Linked DNA regions of Arabidopsis thaliana. The protein of the gene in region 1 interacts with the protein of each later gene in a pairwise test. Each region holds a gene or a part of one and is shown on either strand. Other genes may lie near its edges. The genes, in order: OLEO2 and AT4G24310.

Region 1 (8,885 bases):
ATTCGTCTCTGTTCTCAGAGGTTGTAGTGTGGTTGGTTTTGTAGATGAAGGGCAAAGACATTTTGATTCGATGAGGAATGAGTTCGGGATAGAACCTCAGCTCGAGCACTATGGCTGCTTGGTTGATTTGTATGCTCGTGCAGGCCGCTTAGAAGACGCAGTAAGTATCATCCAGCAAATGCCCATGAAGCCTCATGCTGCTGTTTGGAGTTCTCTGCTCCACGCATCCAGAATGTACAAGAACCTTGAGCTTGGCGTGCTTGCATCTAAAAAAATGCTCGAGCTAGAGACCGCAAATCACGGAGCTTATGTCCTCTTATCAAACATATATGCAGATTCAAACGATTGGGACAATGTTAGTCACGTTAGACAGTCAATGAAATCTAAAGGAGTCAGAAAGCAACCAGGGTGCAGTGTAATGGAGGTCAATGGAGAAGTCCATGAATTCTTTGTAGGAGACAAATCTCACCCAAAGTATACACAAATCGACGCGGTTTGGAAGGATATCTCGAGAAGGCTGAGACTCGCTGGTTATAAGGCGGACACAACCCCGGTTATGTTCGATATAGATGAAGAAGAGAAAGAGGATGCATTGTGTTTGCATAGCGAAAAGGCAGCGATTGCATTTGGTATAATGAGTTTGAAAGAAGATGTTCCGATTCGGATCGTGAAGAACCTTCGGGTTTGTGGAGATTGTCATCAGGTTTCTATGATGATCTCCAAGATTTTTAACAGAGAGATCATTGTCAGAGACAGAAACAGGTTCCACCATTTCAAAGATGGTCACTGTTCTTGTAATGGCTTTTGGTGAGAACCTAGCTATGTAACCATTTTTTAATTTCACCTAGTTAGTGATTTGACGATTTCAGAGGTAAAACATGATTATGATAAGAAATTTAAAATGTGATATTTATTGTTTATCCAATAGTAATTTTTTTTTTGAAGCCAGTAATTAATTGGCGTTAATAGTAAAAATGGTAATTACTAATTGGAGAAGGCTTTTAAGTTTGGTTTGAGGAGAGAAAGATAATAACAATGAGAGATGATCAAAGCAAATGTGTATTCATGTTCAAAGTTCAGATTTTTATATCGTCGGAGATTTTTGAGCCAATCTAGTTTTGTTCATAGTTTAGATGCAAATGTTTCATCACTTATAGCTGCTGTAAAGTCTTGTGTCTCCATTGAACTGTGTCGTTTGCTTCATTGTAAAGTAGTGAAGAGTGTGAGTTACCGCCATGGATTTATTGGGGACCAGCTTGTTGGTTGTTACTTGAGATTGGGTCATGATGTTTGTGCAGAGAAGCTGTTCGATGAAATGCCTGAGAGAGATTTAGTCTCTTGGAACTCTTTAATATCTGGGTATTCAGGGAGAGGTTATTTGGGGAAATGTTTTGAGGTGTTGTCTAGGATGATGATATCTGAGGTGGGTTTTAGACCTAATGAAGTTACGTTTTTGTCGATGATCTCGGCTTGTGTTTACGGGGGAAGTAAGGAAGAAGGACGTTGTATTCATGGGTTGGTGATGAAATTTGGTGTACTTGAGGAAGTTAAAGTTGTGAATGCTTTTATCAATTGGTATGGAAAGACTGGAGATTTGACTTCATCCTGCAAATTGTTTGAGGATTTGAGTATAAAGAATTTGGTTTCTTGGAATACGATGATTGTGATTCACTTGCAGAACGGTTTAGCTGAAAAAGGTCTGGCTTACTTTAACATGAGCAGAAGGGTTGGGCACGAGCCTGATCAAGCCACTTTTCTGGCTGTTCTCCGTAGCTGTGAAGACATGGGTGTAGTGAGATTGGCGCAAGGAATTCATGGGCTAATCATGTTTGGTGGGTTCAGTGGAAACAAGTGTATAACGACAGCGTTATTAGACTTGTATTCGAAACTTGGGAGGTTGGAGGATTCGTCTACGGTTTTTCATGAGATTACTTCTCCAGATAGTATGGCGTGGACTGCAATGCTTGCTGCTTATGCCACTCATGGGTTTGGAAGAGATGCAATCAAGCATTTTGAGCTCATGGTTCACTATGGTATTAGTCCTGATCATGTAACCTTCACTCACTTGTTAAATGCTTGTAGTCATTCTGGTCTTGTAGAAGAAGGGAAGCATTATTTCGAAACAATGTCGAAAAGATACAGGATTGACCCGAGGTTAGATCACTATTCATGTATGGTTGATCTACTGGGTCGATCCGGGCTTCTCCAAGATGCTTATGGATTGATCAAAGAAATGCCAATGGAGCCTAGTTCTGGTGTTTGGGGAGCTTTGCTTGGTGCTTGTAGGGTTTACAAAGATACACAACTCGGAACAAAAGCCGCAGAGAGATTGTTCGAATTAGAGCCTCGTGATGGTAGAAACTATGTAATGCTCTCAAACATCTATTCAGCTTCTGGTCTATGGAAAGATGCTTCAAGAATAAGGAATCTGATGAAACAGAAAGGTCTTGTAAGAGCTTCAGGGTGTAGCTACATTGAACATGGTAACAAAATTCATAAGTTTGTTGTTGGAGATTGGTCTCATCCTGAATCAGAGAAGATACAAAAGAAGCTGAAAGAGATTAGGAAGAAGATGAAGAGTGAAATGGGATATAAATCAAAAACAGAGTTTGTATTACATGATGTTGGTGAAGATGTTAAAGAGGAAATGATCAATCAACATAGTGAGAAGATTGCGATGGCGTTTGGGCTTTTGGTGGTTAGTCCAATGGAGCCAATTATCATAAGGAAGAATCTTAGAATTTGTGGGGATTGTCATGAAACAGCAAAAGCAATATCTTTGATCGAGAAAAGGAGAATCATTATTAGAGATTCTAAGAGGTTTCATCATTTCTTAGACGGATCATGCTCTTGTAGCGATTATTGGTAGTATCTCAATTTCTCATCCTCACAAGTGTCAATTTTACTCTTTCAAGTGTGTGTGTGTATAATATGAAAAAATTGCATACACATATAAACCTCCAATAGAACTGTAAAGTTTTGCACTGTTTCATTTTCTCTATATAGACAAAAAAAAAACTAGAAACCTAAAGAACTGTGAGTATCAAATAGCTAAACATGTCCACCTAATTTAAATGTTCCCATGATTTATCAACTTATCATATTATTACATTCAAATATTACCACAACACTTGCGATCTTTCATGCTTACAAAAACATAAAACACATACACGGTTCAACAAAAAGCCAAACAAAAAAAACACATAACATCATATTGAAAATGCAGAAAAAACGACATAATAGTGAAAACACATATCTACCGTTCATACTGAAAACTCATCATGCAGCCGTCGTCCTCCCCTGAGTCTCATGACCCTTAGTGGTAGTGTCATGTGGCTTAGAAATATCATATTGTTTAACATCTTGGGCCTTGTTCTGCACATGCTGGCCCATTTCTTTGCCCTTTTGTCCTGCGTAGCCAACCGCATCAGCCATTCTCCTCTTAGCATACTCCAATTGCTCAGGCACAGTTCTCCTTGTCCCACGAAGATAGTTCATGACCCATGAGATTGAGCTAAGCCCGGTTAGACCGAACATCCCCGAGGCTAAAAAGCCTGTCATTGCAAGCCCGATAGTTAGAGCCGCTGGGACTATAACCGGGCTGAAGAGGAGAAATAGTGGTAAAGCAACCATTAAGCCGATCACCGAACCAGCTAGAAGTAATCCAGCCAAGGCAAGTAGCGAACCGACGACAGGGACTCCAATCAACAGGGACAATACCTTTTTTTTAAATGATACAAGTTAACAATCGTTAGATTCAAATCAATATATATGCATGCAAATTTAACCAAAAGGTGTATACATATAATTGTAATGGTTGGGACATTTAGACCGACATTGCAAAAAAACATTTCTATTCAATTAACAACCAGAATAAGACTAACCATATTTTGATCGGACACAAAAAAAAAAAAAGCCTAGGAGATCAAAAATTATGTTCGATTAACAATCATAAGCATGAGATCAAGAAAAGGTACAATCACAAAACCATATCAATCTGACCATTTTTGTGATGTTTTGAAGGTCATATTTAACTCGCAATAACAAAAAGAAGATCAAGAAGAAGTTTTATGCATGTAACCATATAAATCGAACAGTGTCAAAATTATTCATAATTTATTTGAACATATATTTCAAGATTCCATGAACATAGACTCCATTGATCCGTAAAGAATCATTTCTTAACTTTGTATGTATAAAGATTAAGAGAATGTATAAATATAAAGACAAAGACATTACTTGGGTACTAGATGGGCCACTTTCAGGCATCATGCTCTTGTAACCGCCACCACCGTAACCACGGTCACCTTCATACTGACCTTGACCTCGGCCGCCTTCATAGGGCGACTGAAATTGAAAGTGTCTATCAGTACGGTCGACACGGTGTGTATCCGCCATTGTAAGCTAATGAGAAATTGTTTTTACCTATTTTCTTTGTAATAAAACTAGAAAAGTTTGGAGAAGGTTTATTTAAAGAAGAAGTTGGAGAGATGAGAAGAGGACACATAAGACGGTGAGATGTTAGAGTAGTAGAGGTGTGGCTTTGCATGATTTCCAAGTTTCAACTTTTTTCTTCTTTTAGTTTTTATTTTATTTTATTTCATTTCATGAGATTTTAAAAGATGTTTTCGCTTTCTCCGCTGACACGAATTTAAAGCAAGACAAAAGAAAACTATCCTATGCATGTATACTTGAGTCCGAAGTCTAAAAGGATCTCCAATACAAATTTGAAAATACATAATTCATCAAAAGAGTTTCATTTTTGGTTATGTGACTAACGAATCCAAAATATGTAATCTAGACAATAGCTTTTGAATTATCCATGTTAAATTATAAAAGAAGATGGGAAATCGAAGATAGGACGATGTAGTTTTGCACCACATTTGGATTTCAAAATTTCGATTTCGAACTTTTAGTATCAAATTAAGAAAATGATTCCGTAAATAAAGTTTTGTGCCAATCCAATCCCCATTACTATATATTAGTTCACAAAGATGATGTAGTCATGTAGAGACATCAACTAAACACTAACGGTGCGGCAGATTCTATTCTAGCATCCAAACTCAGATTCATTTCCTAATCAAAACTTCTTTCAACTCGGAGTATTACAATCACTTTCGTATACCGAAAGGAACGTTCTTATTGCATATCAAAACAATCATCCCTAGCTAGAAGTAGCAATTCGTATTCGTTTGGACTCGGCTCACGGCTAACGTACTATTAACCTTGTATGTGGTTTCACACACATGCTTGATGTAAATCCACTTTTGTTCCGCAGTTGATTCACTATACTTCGGGTTATTAAAAAGACTTGATTTCTAATTTTAAAGATTCCCATGAGTTTTTTTATAAGTTTTAGCCAAAATCGATCGCATAATATTGAAAATCACTTTTAGATATGTCATTTTATATGATATTGTTATAACTTCAACACGCTTAAATGTTAAATACTCTTAAAATAGATTACATGTCAAAATCGTAATCGCATATGTTGTATGTAGTCTATTATCATAATAAAATTAGATCAAATATTTCTAGTGACAATGTAACAAATGAAGAAAAAATAATGAATCATGGTGTTTCCTTAACAAGTCAAAGTCTTGAATTTAAATCACAATGTAATGTTTTTTTTGTCTGTCAATTCACAATTAAAAAAAGAAAATTATAACAAATCATGATTATCTTTTGAATTTTTTGGTGTGTAATACATGGATTTTACAAATTATAGGGTTGGCTTTACAAATTATATTTAGAGAAATTATTGATCCGAAGACCAAATTCTCTTGTACAAAAACATAATTTTGTAGTTCTCTATCAATATAAGTTTAAAGTACACATATAGATAGTAAGCTGGGAAATTGTTGTTGATTAATTAACCATATGAAGAAAATACTATGTCACTCACTTAAAATAGTACACCACTGTAACATAACTTATATAGTTCTTGTATAATAGATAGATAGAGATATACACCAAAACGGTGTAAATTAAAATTTGCTTAATTTAAAAAGAAATAGATAGATAGATATCTCACACGATAGTGAGAAAATATCATATTATCAAAGAAATTTCCTTCACTGGAAATTAATCCCACCAACGCAGCAGCTCTAGATAGTCCTCCAGTGATTCACAAACCTCCAGAGTATAGTTTTCTTTTGGCATCGGAATATAAGGTGATATTGTAGAAGCATCGGTCAATGGTTTGGTGGTCTGCGTTATAGCCTCTGGACTCAAATTCATCTCCCCATATAACATATCTTCAGAGTCATCATGATAATTCTCAATGTTTGTCGGTTCACCATCAGATTCATCATCGTTGTTGATTGTGATACTCCTTATGTAGTTTTCAAGGATGTTATTGCCGACACGGTTGACAGTTCGACCACTTTTATTTTGCACCCGACGCTTTGTGGTATTCCAATGGTTCTTAACATTGTTATAGCTCCTCCCCGGAAGTTGCTCTGAGATCTGGATCCATTTGGCACCAATTACTTTGTGTACTTCAATTAGTATTTGATCTTCTTCTTCACTCCAAGTAGTTTTCTGAAATCACATATACGTAAATCATTCTCTTATTATTGTATGTATATGACACTTTTATTGATGGAAGCAAGATACAAACTATAAAGATGCACGTTTTAATAACCCCTCGTAATAACTATGAGAAAACAAAATTTGCCAATGTATTTTGTATCCATGATGAGATTATTTGTAAGTATCACATGTAACTCCTAAATATAAATTTTTAAAATTGTTGTGATTAAATCGTTAGCCACACTACTATTCAACTATATGAATTTCAATCTATACTCTATACATGTGTGCGTGAACATTGTAAGAACGTAGTTGCTTTCACACACATATAAGCTGTGATGATCATTTATATTAAATTATGAAAATAAGAATATAGGCAGATGAAAGAAAAGAACACCTTAACGTTAGGACGAGCATGGTTATGCCACCTCTCTCTGCATTGTTTTGGTGTTCGTCCTTCAAAATGTTTTGCGACCTTTGTCCATTTTTTGGGTTCAAGTGCCACCATCTCTTTCAATTTTCTATATACATTACAATATATTTTCACATCCTCAAAAAATAAAATAAAAGGCATACAATAAAAAAAAGTTATATGAGAATTCCCAAGGAGGAAATTGAATAATAGTTTTTAAATTTATTTGAGAATAAAAAAAAAATGAAGACTTACATGTCCTCAGATTCTGTCCATCTTTTTTTGGTGATGTCACTTTTCTTCAAATATTTGCTTGTGCTCGCCTCCTTTTTATTCTCATAAGTTTTTTTCATCTTATCATCTTCAAGTTGATTCATGATTTCGTTGGTTGTATTTTTGATACCTTCTAGCACTGGCACATCAAATAATTGAGGTTCACCCATTACCTTATCAAGAGTTGGCTCATAACCCTTATTAGTCAGTTCTTCATTGTGTACAATCTCATTCCCTATAGTGTATTCCTGCAAATCATGAAAATTTTCGAATATACCCTTAGGGTTTGCAAAAATTGGGGGATTATCGATCATATGGATTTTTCCGTTGTTGACTATGTTATTCATAGATTGCTCAAGAGTATCAATATTTGAGTAGGATTTGATACTCATGAATGGGTAGTTTGATGGAATTTCATAGGAGGAAGAGTTGTAAACCAAATGGTTTTGATTAGTATCCAAATTCTGATTTTGAGAATCATAATTTGGGATCAAAGGTATAAGATTTTGGTGGTGCTGATTAGAGATATCAGTCAGATCTGGTGAAAAAGACCATCCAGTACGAGAAGATTGACCTAAATTGTCATTGAAAAAGTTAAGATTATTTTTTGGTATATGCGATGCATCATCATTAACAGGACATCGATGAGCATCGTTTAAGATGAAATTTTCATCGGAGATCAATGAGAATTCCATTTAAACACCAACTTGAATTGAAATGATGATTCTAAAATGGAAAACTGATTAAATCTCGATATGAATCTAAGAAGTACAAAGATCGAGTGCAGAAATCCGTAAAACAAATATTGAAACCCAAAGATGGGCGGAAAGTTATAGAAAATCTTAGAAAGAACGATACTCAGATAAGACGATAAGAAGTGAGTGGTTATAAAAAAGTGTACTTCAAATAATTAAATAAAACAAAAAAGGTAAAAATCTATTTAAAAGGTAACAAATGTATTAATGAATTTTGTAGAAATTGAGTGGCAAAGACTTTGACTTGTCAAATATTTTTACAAGTCATTAATTTTAACAAATCATTGTTTTCACGTTTTATAGATAATAAAAGTGAGTTAAATATAAAACCATGGGCCAAAAAACCAAAAAAGTACACACTATAATTAGTTAGATAATTGGATGTAATTAAAGATAGTACTTTAGATATTGTTCTAATTTTAAGATTTTGAGATGAGGAGTTATACAATATCAACTTGAGGATAAAATAGACATTTATATTCTTAAATTGTAATAAATAATTATGAAATTATAATGATTTATGAGAGCGTTTGTGTTTAAAAGAGAAAATTTGACATATTACAACACGTGTCATACATGTCATGAATTTATTTCTGTTAGATAAAATTTATTTTATTTTCTTGAGCACTGAAGATAGTTTTTTAATAATATATTTAGGTTGAGTCCATTAATACTTGAATTTAAGTACTCAATTGTTTAGACTCAACTAGTTCTCAATTCACCATCCATAGAAAACTCGTTTATTTTAACATTTTTCCTATGAAAAAATGCCAACCATATTATGTTTTTTAATTATTAAAATAGTATAATTTCTCGTTAAACATTTTGATAAAGTAACGTTCGTATTTTCAGAAATAACATATTTTATATTCCTTTAAAAAACAAAGATTATAGTAAAGAACATTAAATTA
Region 2 (8,358 bases), on another chromosome or scaffold:
TTGGACTTGGTCTTCTGTTCAAGATTCCTAGGTCATCTAGCTTCAGTTTTTGGTCTATATTTAGAAACTATGATTTCGATTGAGATCTTATTGGTCAGATTCACACTTTGTGTCAGCAATTCTCAGAAATATCTAAAGTGGTGACTTTTGATTGTTTTTGTGTGTTGTTGATTCTGGGCTCTAATTCTCTTTCTTTGATTTTGGTCTGGCCAACAGAGAAGTCTTGTACTGAAGCATGGCTCTTCGGCTACCAGCTTCTAAAGCAGCTGAAGTTGCGATTGGATCTATTGGCTGTGGTTATGATCTAGCTATTGATTTACGGTTGAAGTATTGCAAAGGAGGTTCCAAAGATTCTAGATTACTTGACATTAAAGAAGGTGATGATAATTGTGAGATTGTTTTACCTGGTGGAATCTCCATTCCTAATGTTTCCAAGTCTATCAAATGCGATAAAGGGGAGCGTATGCGGTTTAGGTCCGATATTCTTCCTTTCCAACAGGTAACTTTTCGTTGAAAAGTATTGGTTTGTGTTGTTGTAGGTTTTGAGTGGATAAGATCGCCATCTGTTGAAGCCTTTATCTAGTTTCCTTGTACATTGTTCTAGAGAGTAAATTTCCTTCATAGCATTTTGGATGCCTTAGTTATTAACATTTTGTTAACATTTTTCTTATGGTTTGCTAGATGGCAGAGCAGTTCAACCAGGAACTATCTTTGGCTGGGAAAATCCCGTCAGGTCTCTTCAATGCCATGTTTGAATTCTCGAGCTGTTGGCAGAAAGACGCAGCCTACACCAAAAACCTTGCTTTTGATGGGGTTTTCATCTCATTATACTCGGTGGCTTTGGACAAATCTCAAGTGTTACTCCGTGAGCATGTTAAGCAGGCTGTTCCATCAACATGGGACCCTGCTGCATTGGCAAGGTGATGTTCTGTCTTCATAATAGGATTGTATGTATGTAAAGTCTATGGAAAGTTACTTACATCTGCATATTTTTCTGTGAAATTGTTCGATGGTCGTTTCCTTGGCCCAATGTCTTTTCACTGGATGAAATTGTTTTTGTATGACTTAAGAATTACGTCTTACTTGTTGTAGGCGTTGTTTCATTAGTAATATTTCTTCAGTAATTGGAGGGTTTATGACTAACACTTAGTCAAATGTTTCTTTACCAGGTTTATAGATATTTATGGGACGCATATAATTGTTAGTGTTAAGATGGGAGGAAAAGATGTGATTTATGCAAAACAACAACACTCCTCAAAACTTCAGCCTGAGGATCTGCAGAAAAGGTTAAAAGAGGTGGCAGATAAGAGGTTCGTGGAAGCTAGCGTAGTGCATAATACGGGTTCAGAAAGAGTACAAGCAAGTAGTAAGGTCTGTGAAATAGTTATTATTATTTTTGTTTCCCATCATCAAAACTTTCTTGTTTGTGCATGTCATAAATGTTTTGGCTATTTGACATATAGAAGAATTTCTACTAACAATCTAGTGTTTCGACTCTTAAGTCTGTAATTCCTGTCTTTTATTCCTGGTTTCAGGTGGAAACAAAGGAGCAACGCCTGAGATTTGCAGATACCAGTTCTTTGGGCTCTTATGCAAATAAGGAGGTAATTTCTATTGGTACCATAGCTTATCATAAAGACATGTAATCTGTGTGTTAGCTTCTTTTCTCAGGAGTTACATGTTTTTTGTAGGACTATGTCTTCATGTGCAAGAGGCGAGGTGGAAACGATAACAGAAATCTAATGCATAATGAATGGCTGCAAACAGTTCAGATGGAGCCTGATGTTATCTCCATGTCTTTTATTCCAATTACGTCTTTGCTTAATGGAGTTCCAGGAAGTGGATTCTTAAGCCATGCCATAAATCTGTATCTAAGATGTAAGCCTATAAATCATTTGCGCTTTGTGCATTTCTTTCTGGAGTTATTCTTCATACTAGTGGTTTCTTTTACCTTTAGATTAGAAGTTTGATATAGGTAAAATTAGAATAGTATAATCCCAAATCTTGCGTAATCTCCAAGTCCAGCTGGGTAGTTAGGTTGATACATAGGAGCATAACTTGAAAATTATAGTATTTTTATAAGTCGAAGATGATTTTTTCTGCCATCTGTTATATGATCCGCGTAAGATGAACATACTATAAACGAAAAGCCTTGGGTTAACAATCCAACATTAACTGAGATTTGTAGATAAGCCACCAATTGAAGAGCTGCATCAGTTTCTCGAGTTTCAGCTACCAAGGCAGTGGGCACCCGTTTTTAGTGAACTTCCTCTTGGTCCGCAACGAAAGCAACAAAGTTGTGCGTCTCTGCAATTCAGTTTCTTTGGACCTAAGCTATACGTGAATACCACTCCGGTATGGGTTTGTTTCATCCCTGAATATGTAGCTTGCTGATGCAGGTTTATTTGGTCAGTCAAGTCTGATCTCATTAACCCTGTGTGGTTAGATTTTGTTTAAAGTCCTCCAGTCCTGAGATGCTCGTTCTCGTTTGTCTGGTTTCAGGTTGATGTTGGTAAGAGGCCAATCACTGGCATGCGGCTCTACCTAGAGGGTAGAAGAAGCAACCGTTTGGCAATTCATTTGCAACACCTTTCCTCTCTTCCCAAGATATATCAGCTCGAAGACGATCTAAATAGAAGTATCCGGCAAGAGTCTCATGACCGTCGATACTATGAGAAAGTAAACTGGAAGAACTACTCTCACGTCTGCACAGAGCCTGTCGAATCAGATGATGATCTTTCTGTAGTAACAGGTGCGCAGCTTCATGTAGAGAGCCACGGATTCAAGAACGTGCTCTTCTTGCGCCTTTGTTTCTCTAGAGTTGTGGGAGCAACACTGGTAAAGAATTCTGAATGGGATGAAGCGGTAGGCTTTGCTCCAAAATCAGGACTCATCTCAACGCTAATAAGCCATCACTTCACTGCAGCACAAAAACCACCACCACGACCTGCAGACGTGAATATAAATTCGGCTATATATCCTGGTGGACCACCAGTACCCACGCAAGCTCCAAAACTTTTGAAATTTGTGGATACAAGTGAGATGACAAGAGGGCCGCAAGAATCACCCGGGTATTGGGTTGTATCGGGTGCAAGATTATTGGTGGAGAAAGGCAAAATCTCATTGAAGGTGAAGTATTCTCTATTTACTCCAATATTGGGAGATGAAGTGATCGAGGAAGCCTATGAAGGTTAAGAGAAAATGGTGGTGGTGTGGCTCAGAGACAATGAGAGAAAATAGGATGAGTGGTATGTTTATGTCTGTACGTGTACATTCTTAAGGTTTTGTCGTTTGTAATGTTAATGGTGTGGATGTCTAATATGCCACTGTAAAACTTATATACACGAGAAGTTGGGATCGTGGATATCAAATTTATGGGTTTGAATAGTGACATTGACAAGTTTTGGTACAGCAAAAGAAAAATACAACAAGAAGAACTTAGTAAATATATAAATCAGATCAGCAGGTAGATTTAATCAAGTTTTTCTGTTTATAAATTTATCCCTTGAGGAGATTATAATGGAACAAAGTTTTTCTAGTCCTTATGTGGCCAAGCTCACAATTTTCCTCAACCATTTAAAACAAAAAAAAATTCTAATCCCTATTACCAAACACTTTTATTTCCAAGTATTTAAATATTATTTCTGTTTATTTTCTTAACTCAATTGTCAAACACACAAAAGTTTTTTAATATGTAAAGTTACCATATTTAAATATTTCGAATTTTTATAACCAAATATAGATATTTTGAATATATATTATATTAAAATGCATCGTTTTGTTATAATTGAAATAATCACTAAATTATATGACTAACAATTGTATCACTTTTTACTTGGCATTCCATTTATACATAAATTAATAGAAAGATGATTAAATAAATTATTTTTAGCATTTACAACTAATTATAAAAGAGATTATGAAATCTCTATGTTATCTAATTAGAATATTTATCTAAATAAACAAACCATTATATGAATTCATACATTTAAAACAACAAAATACTTTTTTTTGGTAATAATAACAGTTATAGTTAAATTCCAATACTAAGATTTGGCAAGTCTTCAAAATATATTCAAACTCAAAAATTTTATATTGTTTCACTAACTATCCATCTATAGACTATAATGCATACATTAAATATATTAATCTTAACAGAACAAAATTTTCAATTAATTTTGAATATATTATGCACGAGTCGTTACCTAGTACCAAATGAACTATGTGTTATTTTTCAACAAAGAGAAGTTTGTGTATTTTTTGGATAAAAGAGAAGTTTATGTTAAGAAGTTGAATTAAAGAAAACTGATCTCGAAAGCTCCTCCCCAAATAATGATGAGGAATCAAAATGGGCATCACTCAAACAGCTGCATATCGAACTCTGCTTGAAGACTGCTGGTTCTGGTGTAAGACGAGGAGTGGAGGGAGGAGAGACAATTTTTTCCAGTCTTATCACAGTCTAACGATGATGCCAAAAAGAAAGGCTATGCACTTAAGATGCGCCAAGATCCTCCGGAACTAGGAGAACACTACGGTGATATAAAAATAAAGGCGACAGATGGTTATGAAGGCTTATGAGCTGGCATACTTCTCTGATTTTTTTTTATATTGGTTTTAGCACGAGAGTTTGTTAGGGTATATTGGGTAAGCATGAATGTATAACAGTAAGTGAACCTAAAAGCAATAAAAAAAACTCTTGGGATAACATTCAAGATGAAGTAAATTGAGTTTTTTTTGTTAAGATGATAGCATCTACATTCAAAATGTGTTAATACTCCATGAATAATAATACCAAGTTTAATTTTCTGGAGCTCATGTTTTATCTAAAGAGAACGATGCGCATGACATTCACCTAAAAAAACTTTGGACTAAGTCAAGAAGCTTCGACCAATTTGCTTTAGGTTCAACCTGAGAGAGAATAAGCTATGAGAGTTTCAACATAGCAGAGCAGTGAGTGCCACAAGAAACATAATAATGCCCTAGAAACATCTAATGACTGACTAATCTGGACACGAGACTTTTGCACATACCTGGAATTCACCTGCCACAAATTTCAACACAGACATCATAATTTTAAGATTTAGTGATGTTTTTGCCTCCTTGGACGGAAACAGTAAAGAAAGTACCTGGCGGGAGAACTGGATACAAAACAAGACAGTCAAGGCGTACGAGAGAGAGAGACAGAGACAGAGCCACAGAAGGACATGTAAACTTGGGAAAGTCACCTTATAAAAATGACATTTTGGCAACGGGGATACAGAATATTCCTCTAGTGTAGAGATGCAAAAAGAATGCACAAAAGCCTCATCGAAACGCTCTGCTTCTCTAATTACCGAGAGAGCACACTCTCCCATATCTGACAAGACCAGCTTGAGAAACTTATGGTGTTCATTGGCATCCAAATACCTAGAAAAAAAAGAAGAAGAAGAAGTGAAACTTGTTGACTTGTACAGCAAGGGAAGCATAAGTCTCACGGTTTTATTTACCTTAGCCAGGGTTTTAGCCCTTGTAGAAGAGAAATGCCCCTCAAGTATTGGAGATCGTTCATATCCCGCGACATTGCTACAGACCTGACGATGGACGCCACAACCATGAGTTGGACTCTTGCCAGTTTAGCTCCTCCAAATTCGGGATCTGGTAAAAACGGTACACCTTTGGACTCGGGTTCTCTAACTCTAAAACCATCGTCGTAGGCGGGTCCTTTAAGGTGGTCAAGGACTCTAAAACCATCGTTGTAGGCGTGAGTGAACCAACCCCAGGCCTGGTAACAGTGAATCAGCCCGACTCTCTGAAGCTGGACGGCTAGAGGATCGTAGGAGACCAATTCGCAGCATTCCAAACAGAAATCATACGCGCGGAACAAATCCCTAGGGGATCCTTGGGTGAGGCGTTTATGCAGGAAACACACGGATTTGATGATGAAGGGGATGAATTGCTGCGAGATGGATCCAACGGGAGACCTTTTTTAGTGGAATTAGGTTTACTTTTTTAGTTCCCACCAAAGAGTGCGAATCTCTTTAAAGTTAACGTAACATGCAAATCGATTTTAAAGTTTTTTGTTTAAAGTTGGAGACGAGTAAGAACGAGAGTAATATATAATCAACTTTGAAAGTCTCAACTCTCAAGAAGGAATCAAAAGAGACCCATTGACTTCTCAAAAGTCAAAACATTGATCACGTCAACAACCATCTTCTACACTTAATCGCACGTTCTTCTTGGTATATATTATGATCATAATCATCCATTAATTCTCGAAACAAATAAGAAAAACGAAAGAATATGTCTTCACCATCTTCCCTAACGCAGAGAAACCCAACTAGTTCGCAAGAGCAATCGGAGTCTGTTCCACAGCTAAGGAGGCAGACATCTCAACATGCAGTCATGTCACAGACGCTAACCTCAGCTGCAAACCTGGCAAATCTCCTTCCAACCGGAACGCTCTTAGCTTTCACGCTCCTCATACCCGTCTTTACATCCAATGGTTCATGCGATTACCCGACCCAGGTTTTAACCATAGTGCTCCTCACGCTTCTCTCCATCTCCTGCTTCCTTAGCTCCTTCACTGACAGCGTCAAGGCTGAAGACGGTAACGTTTATTACGGTTTTGCTACTCGTAAGGGCATGTGGGTTTTCGACTACCCTGACCCTGACGGTTTGGGTTTACCCAATCTTAGTAAATACCGGATAAGAATTATTGACTGGATCCACGCCGTTTTGTCGGTTCTTGTGTTTGGTGCGGTGGCTCTGAGGGACAAGAACGCCGTGAGTTGTTTTTATCCGGCGCCAGAGCAAGAAACCAAGAAGGTTTTGGACATTGTTCCAATGGGTGTTGGGGTTATCTGTGGCATGTTGTTCTTGGTTTTTCCGGCGAGAAGGCACGGTATTGGATATCCGGTCACCGGAGACGGGGGTCGTCGTTAGATTTGTTATTTATTTCCAAATAGATATAAGCAATTTGATTATTTAATGTTTGGTTGACTAATTCGCTTGTGCATGTGATCATTTCGTGTTTGTCTCATCTACTTCCAATTCTAATAATGATTTTAATTTTGTTCTTTGTTTAGTGGACAATTATTTACGCAAGCAATCTTATTATACGTTCTGCTTGGTCATAAACTAATAATACACTTAGAGGTGTGAAATGCTTAAGATGCCTTGTCTAATTGAGTTAACACACGATATCAATAAACTGAAAGCTATAAAAAAAAAAACTTGGTTAATTGTTTGATCAGGAAGTGGCTGAACTGAGAGGACCATCCAGGTTGGGACCTTTCAAAAGAGCATGTGGACAACACAGTTCTTGTAAGACTCACACTTGTCATGTTGTTTACTCTGACTTTCATCTCTTGCCATGTTTATTTGAGACATACATGCGTCTTCCCAAAGGAAATAAGAAAACCTGTGGAGGTTTATAAATTCCTTTCTCTGCATCCGTTTTACTTACTTGCAAAATGCAGAGACTCTGTAGCCACTAGCTAAACACCGTTGCTAGCTAGGTAATATGCGAGATCTTGAGTTCTGTTTACTCCAATTGCTGGCAGAGTCGGTCAAGGACTCAAACACAAAATCTTGCACAATGATACCATATCAGCAACCAATTCCATACTCGATTAAGCTGTCCTTACTCGCCCTAGTCATAGCAACTCATTAATTCGACACTACTACTATCCTCTCTGATCAAAGACTGCTGTTATGTGCATAAATTTCACCATCTTCACAAGCTTTGATTACTCTCTTTTTTCGGTTGCTTCTCTCAACTCCATGAACATAGTCTCGTTTCTTCCCTCTCCCTGATTTGCTCATAAGATAAATGTACTGATGTCTGATCCCCATCAATGGATGCTTCTCCAGCAAGAAAACTTTGTGGTAAGCTTCCCTTAGAACAACAGTCTGGGTCCGAATCTTGTGCGACATGTAAAATATACCCGGGTGGTGCACCAAAGCCTTCTTGAACCTCATCCCGAACCCTAAATACTCCCCTAAGCAAATCACATTGTCTGTCTCAGTCTTCTTAGATACTAAAAGGAACAAAAGCTCATGAAGTACTGCGACAGCCCACTTCTCAGCCTGATCACTGTACGACCCCAAGTGAAAAGCATTTTCATAAGGCGAAATGTATGGGAGATTTTGCCATTGCTCCACCCAATTCTTCACCCTTTTATGCAATTCGTACCCTTTGGGGAAATTCATCGAATACCTTATGCGCAACCCTTTTTTCACACGAGACCCATCAATGGTGGCTTCTCTTCTCTCCATTTCCGACACAGGAAGGTTGTTCCGCCGCGAAGATATCGTCAAAGCAAGCGTCTTTTCACCCGTTAACCGATCTTTGATCTCAGTTACTTCAAAGTATTCCGG

What was found.
Region 2: the proteins of OLEO2 (region 1) and AT4G24310 interact in a protein complementation assay, tested with the Arabidopsis thaliana proteins (one large-scale study listed by BioGRID).

The regions. Positions count from the first base shown.
Region 1 is NC_003076.8:16,170,343-16,179,227, forward strand, and holds OLEO2 (oleosin 2), read right to left. Parts: upstream 4,442-8,885; 5' UTR 4,399-4,441; coding exon 4,240-4,398; intron 3,721-4,239; coding exon 3,280-3,720; 3' UTR 2,998-3,279; downstream 1-2,997. Other genes in the region: AT5G40405 (Tetratricopeptide repeat (TPR)-like superfamily protein), read left to right, coding at 1-811; AT5G40410 (Tetratricopeptide repeat (TPR)-like superfamily protein), read left to right, coding at 1,043-2,869; MYB22 (myb domain protein 22), read right to left, coding at 6,085-6,543, 6,932-7,055, 7,202-7,389.
Region 2 is NC_003075.7:12,594,621-12,602,978, forward strand, and holds AT4G24310 (transmembrane protein, putative (DUF679)), read left to right. Parts: upstream 1-6,182; 5' UTR 6,183-6,279; coding exon 6,280-6,921; 3' UTR 6,922-7,106; downstream 7,107-8,358. Other genes in the region: AT4G24290 (MAC/Perforin domain-containing protein), read left to right, coding at 236-499, 682-920, 1,170-1,371, 1,536-1,604, 1,692-1,878, 2,189-2,355, 2,503-3,195; AT4G24300 (Peptidase C50, separase), read right to left, coding at 4,360-4,401, 5,031-5,138, 5,226-5,406, 5,487-5,593; AT4G24320 (Ubiquitin carboxyl-terminal hydrolase family protein), read right to left, coding at 7,678-8,358. UniProt on the Arabidopsis thaliana protein: Involved in membrane remodeling.